Linked DNA regions of Mus musculus: region 2 is reported to be linked to region 1. Evidence: microRNA targets listed by miRTarBase, many of them from high-throughput screens and not tested one by one. Region 1 holds a microRNA gene; the other region holds the end of a gene's coding sequence.

Evidence for each region. Region 1 holds the annotated microRNA mmu-miR-323-5p (AGGUGGUCCGUGGCGCGUUCGC, at 2,098-2,119, opposite strand). A microRNA usually pairs through its seed, bases 2 to 8, with sites in the 3' UTR of a target mRNA and lowers its output. Matches are read on the target gene's strand: a 7mer-m8 pairs with bases 2 to 8, a 7mer-A1 pairs with bases 2 to 7 and ends in A, and an 8mer does both.
Region 2: miRTarBase lists Gpx5 as a target of mmu-miR-323-5p. Seed matches in the 3' UTR shown: 7mer-A1 at 1,033-1,039 and 7mer-A1 at 1,036-1,042.

The regions. Positions count from the first base shown.
Region 1 is chr12:109,710,577-109,714,641 of GRCm38, reverse strand. Mir323 (microRNA 323) reads right to left here and starts at 2,134; the gene lies at 2,049-2,134. Mir299a (microRNA 299a) reads right to left here and starts at 4,004; the gene lies at 3,942-4,004. Mir299b (microRNA 299b) reads left to right here and starts at 3,949; the gene lies at 3,949-3,997. Mir380 (microRNA 380) reads right to left here and starts at 2,839; the gene lies at 2,779-2,839. It also overlaps Mir1197, Mir758 and Mir329.
Region 2 is chr13:21,283,936-21,287,995 of GRCm38, reverse strand. It overlaps Gpx5 (glutathione peroxidase 5), which reads left to right. Exons shown (of 5, transcript NM_010343.2): 5 at 424-1,567. The coding sequence ends at 630. Among named protein-coding and RNA genes, the nearest start is that of n-TRtcg2, 6.3 kb to the right of the region's middle.

The DNA of each region.
Region 1 (4,065 bases):
GAGAATTGTGTTCTACCTGGAACCCCACAGAAAGCTCTACTGCTGACCACAACCCTGGGTGGAGTTAAGGACTAAGAACAGATTTCACATCTTTTGTTTATTTGTTTGTTTGTTTGGTTGGTTGGTTGGTTTGGTTTTTTTCGAGACAGGGTTTCTCTGTATAGCCCTGGCTGTCCTGGAACTCATTCTGTAGACCAAGCTGGCCTCGAACTCAGAAATCCACCTGCCTCTGCCTCCCAAGTGCTGGGATTAAAGGCGTGCGCCACCACTGCCCCGCTCCAGATTTCATATCTTAAAGCTCACTGGGCAAATGTGTGTGCCAATTTCAGGTTTGCTTTCCTACTGCTAGAACACTGCTGATTCCAAGTCTCTTATTACAAGGATGTGGGTGTGTGTGAATAGCATGGATCTAGGTACCATCTGACACAGTGGGTGTTCTCTACAATAGACAGTCCTATAGCAGGGGTTGGCTGATTAAAAGCCCATCACCGTGCCTCCAAAGCATGCTGGACATGTGTGGGGGTGGCTGTGTCTAACCTGTTAGAAGCAAAGTGGGTGCAACCTACCTGTGATGACCTGGGGTAGAGTTGCCTCGGTGGCTGCCATCTTCCCCAACTTTGGAACACCATATTGGTTGAGAAGTCCTCCTGAGAATGGACAAGATACTGAAGGTTAGAAGCACAGGCAACAGAAATCTGATGTATGGGATGGGTTTTGTCCGTCACTCACTTGTTCATAACTATTAGTGTGTCCTCAGCTGAGGCTGAGGTATGGACCAGAAGGCCTCCATAGTTTGTTCTGATGGGAAGAGAGGTTGACCAAATGTGTTTCAAACACAGAAACCCCTCTTCCACATCCTCAGTTAACAATAACAATGACACCTTCCCAAACTGGACCTTCAGACCTGGCAGGCCTGGGAGGGTTTAGAGGACAAAGGACACCATTCAGAACGATAATCCACTCGCTGGCTTTGTGGAGAACCAGTTATTCCTGTCCCCTGGCTGGATGCTGACAGGACCATCCTTCCCTGAGACTGGGATCTGGACCACGAAGCCTCCAAGATGGGATTTGATACTGAAAAAAAGGTTAGCTGGGTGTGTTTCATTCTCATCAAAGAAACAGAGACCCAGAAAACCTCTCTTCCGGTACCAGAAGCGAACACTGACAAGACTACCTCGGTAATTCCCCAACGTGACCTTCAGACCTGGCAGGCCTGTTGAATGCAGGGTTGCACACTGGATGTTAGTCAAAGTGCTCAAGCAAGCCATTAGTTGATATATATCTGACAGCCATCCCATCACATGCCCCAGTACAGCAGACCTCCATGGCATGATCCTGAAGTTATGTCACAACCAGAGAGCAGTGGCGCAGTAGAGACTGGCTATAGGACTTACCACCATTTTGGGTAACCACAGAAAGGCACAGATGCCCCCAAACCAAAGATGATTCCTCCCACAGATTTAGCATGCAAGTGTGCTAAGGTGACCTGCGACCTGTGCCATATATAAATGGCATACACACACCCTGGTCATGTCTGACAACATGGTACGTTTCTTGAACTTGGATGGCCCCATATCAAGGAAGGGATCCAAGTATAGGACAGCATTGGAAGCCCATCCAATACTACCATAACAGGCACATATGTTGCAAGTACTGAGGATGCTGTCTCCAAGTCTAACAGCGTACAGCTGGCTTATTGCCTCTGTCCCCAAAAGTTGAGATCTCTTCCAGGAAGTTCTCCAAGGGAAGGTTAGATACTGAGGGTTAGTGGACCAGGTCACAAACGGCACAAATATAGCGTGTGCTCTCTGGTCAACCACCTCACGCACCCACACGTGTATCACATGTCGATGCCACTTTCCTGGTCTGCAAGTCACCCTGCCCACGAAGCTGCCAAGCCAGAGAAATTTGCTGAGAAGAAGGCTGCCACACAAGAGTTATTGTCAGACACAAGAAAAGACAAACCCGCTGGCTGGGTTGCGCTAGCACACACATTTAGTGTCCCCACCCCACAGCTGGTGTTAGCTCCAGGAAAGCTCGCAAGGCGGGATTAGATACCGCAAAGAGGTCGACCGTGTAATGTGCGCCATAAATGAAGCGAACGCGCCACGGACCACCTCTCTCCAAGTACCAAGCAGCAGCAGTAGGAAGACCGGGACACTGGCTCTTCCTCAAAGCAGATGTCACCTCCTGGAAGTCTTCCAAGGCGAGATGTGATATTGAGAAGAAGTAGACCATGTGTCCTACGTCATAAATAAAGCGTACACACCATGGTCAACCGCATCTTCAAATACCTTGAGGTAACGCTGGCTGATTCCAGCTCACTTTACTTAATTTGGTGTTACCTCCAAAATGCCTTCTCAATGAGTGTCACAAACTACCAGCAATCGGCATGTGTGGCAATGGCCACAAACTCATGTTTAATGCCACTATGACTTCCAGGATGCCCTGTAAGGCTGGGCTGGGTGCCAAATATTGGCTTTGGATCAAATGGCCAGAGTCGTAGGTAATGAACATGGCCTGTAGCCAAGCACTGGGTAATCTGTGTTGGATAGGGTCTGCCGCCTGAGCCCTACTCTCAATTGGTATGGCTTTCAGAAAGCCCCTGGTGACCGGCTGATGCAGAGATGTGGTGGACCATGCTGTACATGCTGGAATTAACGCACACACTCGACAGTCTACCATCTCCCCAAGTACTGTGCTGAAGCCAGGACAGGATATCTCCCATGAAGTTGGCTCGGTCTCTGGAAAACCCTCACGAATGACTTTGATAACGAGAAGATGTGGACCATACTACATACGACACAGAAGTAGCGCATGTTCTATGGTCAACCATCTTTTCAGGTACCATGGAGAGAGGGTGGTGCAGGAGCTGGCTTCTTTCCTCATGATTATCACTTCCAGGAAACCCTAGATGCAATGTTGAAAAGAGACCACCATGCATTGCCTGCTGCAGATGCAGAGAATATAGCAAAGAGAAGTTTGCAAGGACGCGAAGAGAAGACCCCGTAACTAGCACTGTGCCTTTAAGGAAATATTGTTCACAGGAAGCCCCCAAGGCGCATTCACTATTATGGGAAGGTGGACCAAATTAACATGCGCTGTAAGTAAAGCAAGAAGCATGGACAACCTCTACCCCAAGGCATTTGTCCTTCTGCCTTGCCCCCCCACCCCCAAGGTTAATGGGGCCTCTTTGGAAACCTTCAAAGCTGAAGTTGATATTGAAAAGAGTAGGCCAGGTTACAAATGGTGTTAATAATACACATGCAGTTTGCTTGATCCCTCTTCAGGTACCGTGAGGTCATTGCTGATGCAAGAACCAGAGCCCTGTCTCTGAGGCTAGCAGCATCTTCAGCAAGTTCTCCAAGGCTGGGCTGGAGGTAAGAAGAAGTGAGCCAAGAAGCAACTTTGATCTGTAAGCATACATGGAGGAGCCAGGCTGGGTCATCTTCCTCTAGAAGGCTAGACTTGATATGGAAAAAAAGATACTATATACGAAGCATCAGTGGAAACAGGGACTGTGTCTTCATGCATCTGTCTTTGCACTGTATCATGTAGCCCTAGCTGTCCTTCTATGGGCATAATGTCTTGAAGGCATCTGATGATAGCTTTGCAGATGATGAAAACACGCAGCATCCCTTGATGATGAGCATCTGTGGAGCTAATTGCCACTTTTTCAAGTCCTAAGGAGGGAGGGAGCATGCCCAGTTGGGATGTAGGACACCTTCCTGGAGGTTGTCATCATCCTTGAAGAAGCCCTTAAGGGCTGCACTGAAGCTGACAGGAACACCTTGCCACATGAATTAACAGAGAAAGCACACAAAAAGCAGAGGGATGTTTGGCCAAGCAGCCCGATGTAGAGAGCAAGCCAAAACAACGTTTCTTCTCTCACTTCAGGCTTGCTCGAGGATGGTATGGACTGGATGGCTGGGCTGGATACCAAGAAGCGGTTTACCGTCCCACATACATACTCAAAATGTATGTGGGACGGTAAACCATTTCTTCAAGTACCGCGTGACAGCAAGGACAGCTGTAAGAAGGTTCATGTCTGCCAGGTTGCCTCAG
Region 2 (4,060 bases), not on the chromosome of region 1:
CATCTGTGGCCCCAGCACTGGGAGGTAGAGTCATGAGTATCAGGAGTTCAAGGTCGTCTTCAGAGACACATTGACTTTGAGGCCAGCATGGGCTATGTGAGATCCTATCTCACAAACAAACAATGACAAGGACAAGAAATGAAAGCTTGAAAGGCAATAAATACATCTTAAGCTATGTAATGTGAATGGGATGGAGCCCTGGGGTGAAGGACAGAAAGAAGGAATGTGCTTAGGCTGTGAGATCAGAAAATTCTTGGCATCTGGCATCACGATGAGGAGCAGGGTTTGTGGGGTTTAGCAGGAACCACAGGAGGATGGGATGTATGGGTGTCACAGGGAGGGAATTGCCTGTGAATGAGGACACCCTGGGTCATCTAAGGAACAGAAATAATGTGTTTTCTCTTCTCTGCTTCTCTGCCGCAGCGTTCTTGTCCTCACCCCTCAGAGACTGTGGTCATGAGCAAACATACCTTCTGGGAGCCAATAAAAGTCCATGACATCCGCTGGAACTTTGAGAAGTTCCTGGTGGGACCCGATGGCATCCCTGTCATGCGCTGGTTCCACCAGGCTCCTGTCAGCACTGTCAAGTCTGACATCATGGCGTACCTGAGCCATTTCAAAACCATATAGGAAGGCCAAGCTTCTGACCTCTTCCTCCTTCCCCCTTAAAGACTGCTCTGAAAAAAAGACTCCATCTTCTCAGCACACTCTTCACTGAAATGGACTCTACCTCCCCAAGTCACCCCTAAATTGCCTAAGTTCTTCCCCTGCACAAGTAGATTTGTGTCTGGGAAGCTGTAGATGTTTTTCCTTGTTAGATTTATGAGTTGAAGAGAGAAAATAAAAGAAAAAAGAAAAAGCTAAATCCAGAGACCTCAGAGGTTTGGCTGAGTATGTTAGTACTCACCTATAATGTCAGCACTCAGCAGACATTACAGACATTTCAGACAGGCAGCGACAGGAGGAACATGAATGGCAGGCCAGCCTAAGCTACAAGATATCATGTGTCCAAAAAAAAAAAAAAAAAAATCCACCACCACCAACACAACCCGATTGAACTACTCTAATTCACCAAAGGATATGGGGATAGCTTGGTTGGAGGCTGTATCTGAAGGAAGAGTCCCCTTGGCCATTCTGAGTCTTTCTCTTCCCAGCCTGAAGGTGGAGAAAGAGCAATGGAGGCTGGTCAGACAATCTAGTTTGCTCCTCTGAAACTGTGTGTCTCCTGAGACAAATGCCTTGTCAGTTCCTGAGGTCTTTTAATTCGGTCTTCATCTCTGTCTCCATCCTCTCTGCCCTTCTCCTGCGGCCAATCTGAGGGAGAGTCTGAGCAGATTGACTCGCACAGGAGGAGGGCATCTCCCTGATGCCAGGATCGGGGACTTGTCCCTGATTCTGCATAAGTGCTCCTTTCTGTGTGATCTTCACGGGGTCAGCTAGTGCTTATGAGTGGGGATGCCTTTCATCATCTGAAGAATAGGACCCCCCACATACACACCCCAACCTGGGATTCTTCAACTTCAGAACTAGACATATTATTTCCAATAAAATGTTTTCTGAAGCATTCAAGACCTTTGTGGTTCATTCCTAATTGATGTTTATGTTTGAATCTCTCCTCCTGTCCACACTATAAGTGACATCCACATTATGAACTTTTTCAGAGACAGTGTATCAGTCAAGGCTCTATAGTCACAGAACTTAAGGAATGAATATATAATGTGTAATACATGATTATGAAAGAACTCAGTGGGGAAACCCCCACTCAGCTCCCGATTCGGCGTGCACCCAAGAATCACGAATAGAACACAACACCTTGATGTAACAACAAGAGGTATTTTAATGGCGGAGCTCCGGGTCGAAACGTATCTCACACAACAGGAGACAGTGGATTCGACCACGAGGCTTGGAAGCTAGGGGTTTTTATAGAAAAGGAGTGGGGCTGGGGGAGGAATTGGCGCGGTTTCACATGATTGGTCCATTTAAACATCAGCAGCCTGTAACATTTAACTTAGGTCAGAGGGGTGGGAGATAGGGAGGCAATGGGCCTGCCAGGGCATGTCCTGGTCTGTTCTGCTATGTTCTCAGCCCCAGGTTTCAAAGCTCACAAACAACTCTTTGGGCTATTTGACATACATTACATGAATTACAGTTTTATTTCCTTTCAATTACACACACACATTAAAGGGAGTTTGTTGGAATGATGTATAGTTTGCAGTCCAACTAATCCAACAATGGCCAGCTGTGACTGGAAAGTCCAAGAATCTAGTAGTTGCTCAGTCCTGTGAGGCTGGGTGTTTCAGCTGGTCTTCTAAATAAGCTAGAATCCTGAAGAAGTAGGCTCCAATAGATGTACTGGCAAAGTAAGTACAAGCAGGCAAAGAAAAAACCCTTTTTTCTTCCATTGTCCTCATGTAGGCCTCCAGCAGAATGTATGGATCAGATTGCCTCTAGATCTGGATTAAAGACGTGTATCTTCCAGCCTCAAGATCTGGTTCAAAAGCTTGTCTTCAAGCCTCAAGATCTAGGTCACTGGTGTGCCCTCCATTTCTGGATTGTAGTTTATTCCAAATGTAGTCAAGTTGAAAACATCTCAAACAGTATTTATCCTCCTAGATGTTTAGAAAGTTGTCACCTGAGGCTCATGGCTGGCACCTGGCTTTAAGAATTGCCTCAGACCAAGTTGGTTGCATCAGGTCTTGGCCTCAAGGGTTTATCTGAGGCCTTTCAGCTCCAGAGGCGTCTGGGGAGTTGGCTGATACCTTTTGTCCTTGCTCTGCAGCCCAGTCTTTCTCTCTGATAAAAACCACTTCTCTAACTTGCTGTGTGTTCTAGTGTCACTCAAGTTGAGCATCAAATTCAGAATGTATGTATTAATTGGAACCCCAAGCCCAGGTGTTGACAATTCACTAATGTCCTGGTAAAATTTTTTTCTTGAAATGTGAGTGTCAAACTGGAACTTGCTCATGATGGTAGATCCTGTAGGCACTGAGTCACACACCCCAGTAATCCAATAATGAAGGTGAATTAAAATCTCCATTTCACAGTCTTCATTTTAAGAACTCCAATGTGCAATTATCAACACAGGGGGGAAATGCCTATCTAAGGAAGAGATGCTAATGTGACTTTTTAAAGGCTAAATTATCCACACCTAGTTAACAATTAGGAAATAAATGTAGCACAAATAGCTTCTGCCACAAAGTATCTGTGATTATTGAAACTCCCCTCCAATTTGAGTGGTACAGTTTACCATGAAGGGAGACACGCTAGTAACATGTTAGCACTGAAAGCAGTGGGTGGTAATAGAATGGTTATCATTGCAGAAGGAAGTCTACAGTTTGGAGAGACACAGTGAACAGTTGGAATGACATGTCATGAAATAAAAGCTAAATGTGAAACCATTCCTGCTGGATCATTTAAAAAAAAGTCTCAGGGCCAACGTGGTGATGCACATTTATAATGCCAACATTAAGAAGGCTGAGACAGGAGAGCCACCCACTCAAGGTCAGACTGAGCTCCATAGTGAGAACCTGTCTCAAAACAAGAGAAGGTGGGAAGCAGAGGGAGAGATAAAGGAAGGGAAGGAGGGAGAGAGAGAAAGACAGAGAGACAGACAGACAGACACACAGAGACAACATCTTTCATGTTCTGCTACTCAACAGCACAAGAAAACTAAGTTAAGTTGCACATTTGGACTGCTCCTTTACACCAGCTGGAGAACTCGTTGGAAGAGGATAAATCCTCTATACACAGATGTTTTGATGCATCAACACTTCCATTAAAACAGATGTCCACAGATGTAGGTTTACTCACTGATTAAGAGTCTAAAATGTCAGGATCCCACCCCAACAGTCAGATACTGAGGAAGGCAGGGTGGGTGGCATCAATGGGGGCCAAAAGCAGGTGACTTTTAGCAATTTAACTCTCTCCTGTTATTCAAGGACCAAAAGCTGATCAGCTTCTGGCAATTGACTCCTACTGATAGCAGCAAGGGAATTAAGAAAAGAAACTTAGTGACTTGGGCTCTTTTTTCTTTGACTCAAAGGCCTCTCAGTGGCCAAGG